Macaca mulatta: one gene and its partner. The protein of the gene in region 2 binds, or shares a complex with, the protein of the main gene of each other region. Links are inferred from orthologs where the notes say so. Each region holds a gene or a part of one and is shown on either strand. Other genes may lie near its edges.

Evidence for each region. Proteins that work in one complex are often made in the same cells at the same time.
Region 1: NCOA6 (region 2) and KDM6A share a complex: the UniProt entries of both Homo sapiens proteins name them as parts of the MLL2/3 complex. The link is inferred for Macaca mulatta from reciprocal best matches to the Homo sapiens genes NCOA6 and KDM6A.

Annotation. Positions count from the first base shown.
Region 1 is NC_133426.1:45,077,835-45,080,761, forward strand, and holds the end of KDM6A (lysine-specific demethylase 6A), read left to right. Parts: intron 1-172; coding exon 173-343; intron 344-1,481; coding exon 1,482-1,511; 3' UTR 1,512-2,352; downstream 2,353-2,927. UniProt on the Homo sapiens protein: Histone demethylase that specifically demethylates 'Lys-27' of histone H3, thereby playing a central role in histone code. Demethylates trimethylated and dimethylated but not monomethylated H3 'Lys-27'.
Region 2 is NC_133415.1:87,528,823-87,532,477, reverse strand, and holds part of NCOA6 (nuclear receptor coactivator 6), read left to right. Parts: intron 1-1,905; coding exon 1,906-3,655. UniProt on the Homo sapiens protein: Nuclear receptor coactivator that directly binds nuclear receptors and stimulates the transcriptional activities in a hormone-dependent fashion. Coactivates expression in an agonist- and AF2-dependent manner.

The sequences.
Region 1 (2,927 bases), on a different chromosome or scaffold from region 2:
TAAACCTGGTCTGTTAAAGATTCTCAAACACAGCCATGTTTTTCTTACCACTTACTCTTAACCAGAGATCACTGTCCACAATTTCATTCAAGTAGAATTCCATGATTATACTAAAGCAGTACAGTGAATACCACCATCTCTATTGAATACGTTTTTCTCTTGTATAAAACAGGTGGAGGTTTTTGATTTGCTTTTTGTCACTAATGAGAGTAATTCACGAAAGACCTACATAGTACATTGCCAAGATTGTGCACGAAAAACAAGCGGAAACCTGGAAAACTTTGTGGTGCTAGAACAGTACAAAATGGAGGACCTGATGCAAGTCTATGACCAATTTACATTAGTAAGTCAAATCAACATGTGAGTACATAGTTAGCTGGGTTATGAAGCAGCAGTGTTTGTTCTGCCACCTGATAAGTAGGAGGTAATGAAATATTTTAAATTTCCCTTTGGCTCATTACATATTGCATGAGGGTGTATTCATATCATTCCCCCCTCCATTTCCAAGTATTTATTCCTATAAAATTGGCATATATCATTTTCAGTTTTCTTCCTGGGTAAGACCAGCCTAAATAATTTTACAACAATTACATTTAAAAATCTTCACGTGCTTTAGATGGAACACTATCATATCCTTTATGTCATTTTATCTCAGTTGATAAGTTGATAAAATGTTTGTGTACGTAGGTTATTAGAGCCCACAAAATGAATCAGTAAATGTGCTTTTAAATATACTTCTGCTTTTAGAGCTAATTGTATTTGTTTAAAATTTTGTCCTTGCCAGAAGTATTAACCTCATGGGAATATTTAATGGAGCTTAACTTCCTGGTATGTTATATAACCTTATGAAATTCAAGTATACTTATAAATTGCACACAGTTTTTAATTTCAGACAGCAGATGCTTGGGGGAAGCATTTTACTTTAGCAGATCAATAGCTTTATGAATAGAAACAGAGATAATTTATGAATTGTTGATTTTCTCCAGTACTTGTCTCCCACACATATGTGATCAGAAACTTTTTGAAATTTAGTTTCTGATATTTTCACTTGAATAGTCTTCAAGATTGCTTGAAGAAGAAAATTATCTGGAATATGTTGAAGAAAATATATTACCTAGCTGAGATAGATTCTGAAGACAGTCACTAGTGAAATTGTAACTTGTTAAATTATTTTTCAAGAAGCCCCCCTTTTTTTAAGCAATCTTAAGAAACGGTAAACTTAATAACATTCCAAGAGTTTTTGACTAATTGGTGAAGAAATATAGAAAATTGCGTACGCTGAGTAGGATAATGGTCTTAGACTCTTAGGAAAATTGGCTGAATGGGAGATAGTAAGGTAGGTTGTACTTTTATGTTGTGTAGCAGGCTGGTGAACTTTTTGAGAGTTATTTCCCCTGACTTCATAAGCAGACTATATGTTTGTAGCCATGAGCTATTAACAATTTGTATATCAAAATAACCTACCTTACTTTTATTTTCAGGCTCCTCCATTACCATCCGCCTCATCTTGATATTGTTCCATGGACATTAAATGAGACCTTTTCTGCTATTCAGGAAATAACCCACTTCTGCACCACTGGTTTTTGTAGCTATCTCGTAAGGCTGCTGGCTGAAAACTGTGTCTATGCAACCTTCCAAGTGCGGAGTGTCAACCAGCTGGACGGGAGAGAGTACTGTTCCTACTCCAGGACTCTCACAAAGCTGATCAGCTGTACTTCACAAAAAAATAATAATTTCCATGTTTTGTATATATCTGACAAAACTGGCAACATCTTACAGACTACTGACTTGAAGACAACCTCTTTTATATTTCTCTATTTCTGGGCTGATGAATTTGTTTTCATCTGTCTTTTCCCCCTTCAGAATTTTCCTTGGAAAAAAAATACTAGCCTAGCTGGTCATTTCTTTGTAAGGTAGTTAGCAATTTTAAGTCTTTCTTTGGTCAACTTTTTTTTAATGTGAAAAGTTAGGTAAGACACTTTTTTACTGCTTTTATGTTTTTCTGTCTTGTTTTGAGACCATAATGGTTACACTTTTGGTTCCTAAATAAAACATTAAAAAAATTAACAGCCAAGTCACAAAGGTAATGGATTGCACATAGACTAAGGAATAAACTTCAGATTTGTGATTTTTGTTTCTAATCTTGATGTAAATTTACACTATTTATAAATACATATTTATTGCTTGAAAATATTTGTGAATGGAATGCTGTTATTTTTTCCAGATTTACCTGCCATTGAAATTTTAAGGAGTTCTGTAATTTCAAACACTACTCCTATTACATTTTCTATGTGTAAATAAAACTGCTTAGCATTGTACAGAAACTTTTATTAAAATTGTTTAATGTTTAAAGAGTTTTCTATTGTTTGAGTTTTAAAAAGACTTTATGTACAGTGCCCAGTTTTTGTTCATTTTTGAAATCTGATTATATATATTTTATATATACTTATGTATGTATATATAATATATATAGAAATCTGGATATATATGTATAAATATTTAGAACTTAAATTTTTCTCGTTTTAAGTTTCACATCTATGGTAGATTTTTGAGGTGTCTACTGTAAAGTATTGCTTACAAAAAGTATGATTATTTTTAAAGAAATATATATGGTATGTATCCTCAAGACCTAAAATGTCAGACTGGTTTATTGTTAAGTTGCAATTACTGCAATGACAGACCAATAAACAATTGCTGCCAAAATGTAGTATAATAGTAGAAAACAAATAGTGATTGAACTTAAGATTTTAAAAGGAATGTTATATGGGCTTGACAAATCCTGTACATGACTTAGTAACATTTTATATGGAAAAGGGGATTCAGGATGAAGGGCTCTATTTTAGAATGAAAATAAATTAAGAGACTTATTTTTTAATGTTAGGCAATTTTGAAATCTCATGCTTTTTTGCTTGCATGACATGATTTGG
Region 2 (3,655 bases):
GCTGTCCTCTTTGGTATTTACTGTCTGGTGGGCTGATTTTAAAGATAAAAGGCATCCATGTCATAGCCCTGACATCAACAGGCTTTTGCAGAAATTATGATTTTCTTAATGTGGGAACCCCAGACTGAATGTGAAAAATAGGAACCTGCTATATTTGACTATATAGTCTAAAGGACAATTGAACCATAGAAATGCCATCTGTTATTGGCTTTATAAAGGTCAAGAAGGTACTCGGGCCTAAAATAAAAAAGGATTTTTAAAAAAATCTTCAAAACTGGATTCTACACATTGTATTTGTTGATACCATGGAAATCTTTGGCCAGAAGACATTAATTAGCTATTGAGTACTGAGTCTGACCCACAAAATTTGGTAGCTGCTCTATGAAAATGTTGAGTCAGCATTTCTTTTGACCGCCAGAGCCAATTGCTCTTATTCCTACACCTTCTTAAAACCTCCCCAATGTACTCTTCATGCAACAATGGAATAAATCTAGTTTGTGGAACTGGAATTGTATCCCACATGTGCACAGCTGTATGCCCACTTTTTCCCACAGAACTACCGTTATTCTTGGTTTGCGTATCTTTTTTTTTTTTTTTTGAAATGGAATTTTGCTCTTGTTGCCCAGGCTGGAGTGCAGTGGCGCAATCTTGGCTCACCACAACCTCTGCCTCCCGGGTTCAAGCGATTCTCCTGCCTCAGCCTCCCAAGTAGCTGGGATTACAGGCATGCGCTACTATGCCCAGCTAATTTTGTATTTTTAGTAGAGACGGGGTTTCACCATGTTGGTCAGGCTGGTCTCAAACTCCTAACCTCAGGTGATCTGCCCGCCTCGGCCTCCCAAAGTGCTGGGATTACAGGCATGAGCCACCGCGCCTGGCCAGTTTGTGTAACTTTTTATCTTTTCTGATTGTAAGGTTTTGGTTCTAAAATGCCAAGTAAAATCTTCACAAAAAAGAGAATAATTTGAGATGTTGCCCTCTGCATATCTAGAAGACATTGTCCTTCAGGGTTCTTTTTCCAGAATTATTTTTTATTCCTGAGGGCTATGCTTCCGCCTTCCTTATTCTCCAACTGTGGATTCATGGAAAATATTTCTCCAAATAGAGATTTGCATGTAAGAAAGTTAAGTGCAAATTAATATCCATAAAAACTTCAGTGCCCTAATTTTATTTTCAATGTGTATATCAGCTTCCATTAACTCCTACTGTTTATTAAACTGATTTACATCTGAAGGGCAATTTTAATTCAGTTGGTTTCCCCCAAAGGATTAATCCTGAAGGATGCGGCATAGTGTATGGAGCCAATGAATTGGAATAATTTTAAATTTCTCTTTCTTAAGGAACTGAATTCTAGAATTTTATATTTTACTTCTGTTGAAAGAATAAAAAGGCTGTCTTCAATGCTGTTATTTTCAATAAAACCACATCTTTAAAAAAATTATTCCTATGCTAACAGAAGAAGTGAATCCTAAATGCTTTACTTCATTCACAAGTACATTGAAATATTGATTATGACTACATGAGATCTGAATCTTGGGTAGACAGGCACTTGCTGTTGATGGAGTTTTTCTCATTTCATCTGAATGTTTGGCTGGTATAGACACAGCCATTTTCAGTGCATAGCACAGAAAATCAGGCTCTTAGTACAGTCATGGCTCATTCAGACCCTACACACCAAGGAGCTCCAGGTTTTTTGATGCTTTGCTTTTTGCTTCCTTAAGCACTGTGCCCCTTTTGCTTATGTCAAGTAATGAGGGGCTGCCCCCTGCCCCAGGAGTGGGCATGCCTGAGCTGTTTGTGCATAGTCTGTGCCACCTAGATGAGTATTGCTTGGCTATACTCTAAAGGTAGCAACATTTTCTTGCTGAAAAATCTAACTTCCCTGATTTGGGGGGCTTGTTTTAGGTTATCCTTCTCAACCAGTTGAACAGAGGCCACTTCAGCAGATGCCTCCTCAACTCATGCAGCATGTGGCACCCCCACCACAGCCACCACAGCAGCAGCCACAGCCACAACTGCCTCAGCAGCAGCAGCCACCACCTCCCAGTCAGCCACAGTCTCAGCAGCAGCAGCAGCAGCAGCAGCAACAAATGATGATGATGCTCATGATGCAGCAGGATCCCAAATCAGTTAGGCTTCCAGTCTCTCAAAGTGTCCATCCTCCAAGGGCCCCCCTGAACCCCGACTCCCAGAGAATGCCCATGCAACAGAGTGGCAGTGTGCCTGTCATGGTCAGTCTGCAAGGACCTGCCTCCGTGCCACCATCACCTGATAAACAAAGAATGCCAATGCCTGTGAATACTCCTTTGGGAAGCAATTCAAGGAAAATGGTCTATCAGGAGAGCCCGCAGAATCCTTCCAGCTCGCCACTGGCGGAGATGGCCTCGCTCCCTGAAGCAAGTGGCAGTGAAGCACCATCTGTCCCAGGAGGCCCAAACAACATGCCTTCACATGTAGTACTTCCCCAGAATCAGTTAATGATGACAGGGCCAAAACCTGGACCATCGCCCCTTTCAGCAACTCAAGGTGCAACTCCCCAGCAACCCCCTGTAAATTCTCTGCCCAGCTCTCATGGCCACCACTTTCCAAATGTGGCCGCGCCAACCCAGACATCTAGGCCCAAAACACCAAACAGAGCCAGCCCCAGACCCTATTATCCTCAGACACCCAACAACCGCCCTCCCAGCACAGAACCTTCAGAAATCAGTCTGTCACCAGAAAGACTCAATGCTTCCATAGCAGGACTCTTCCCTCCACAGATTAATATTCCTTTACCTCCTAGGCCAAATTTAAACAGGGGCTTTGATCAACAAGGCCTAAATCCAACAACTTTGAAGGCCATCGGGCAAGCACCTTCAAATCTTACCATGAATCCTTCCAATTTTGCTGCCCCACAAACTCACAAATTAGATTCTGTGGTAGTGAATTCTGGAAAGCAGTCTAATTCTGGAGCAACAAAACGGGCAAGTCCAAGCAACAGTCGCAGGTCTAGTCCTGGGGCCAGTAGGAAAACCACTCCAAGCCCCGGGAGGCAAAATTCAAAAGCCCCTAAACTTACTCTGGCCTCTCAGACAAATGCAGCCCTGTTGCAGAATGTGGAGTTGCCGAGAAATGTATTGGTCAGTCCCGCTCCTCTGGCCAATCCCCCTGTACCTGGGAGCTTTCCTAACAACAGTGGGCTGAATCCTCAGAATCCTACTGTGTCTGTGGCTGCAGTTGGGGGTGTTGTTGAGGATAACAAGGAGAGCTTGAATGTGCCTCAGGACAGTGATTGCCAGAATTCCCAGGGTAGGAAGGAACAGGTAAACATTGAACTAAAAGCAGTCCCTGCCCAAGAAGTTAAAATGGTTGTCCCTGAAGATCAATCCAAAAAGGATGGGCAGCCTTCGGATCCTAACAAACTTCCCAGTGTCGAAGAGAACAAAAATTTGGTGTCTCCTGCTATGAGGGAAGCACCAACATCGTTAAGTCAACTTCTTGACAACTCTGGAGCTCCCAATGTGACAATTAAACCCCCTGGGCTTACAGATCTGGAAGTAACACCTCCAGTAGTTTCTGGGGAGGACCTCAAAAAAGCATCTGTCATTCCCACACTGCAGGATCTGTCTTCTTCTAAAGAACCCTCTAATTCCCTAAACTTACCTCACAGTAATGA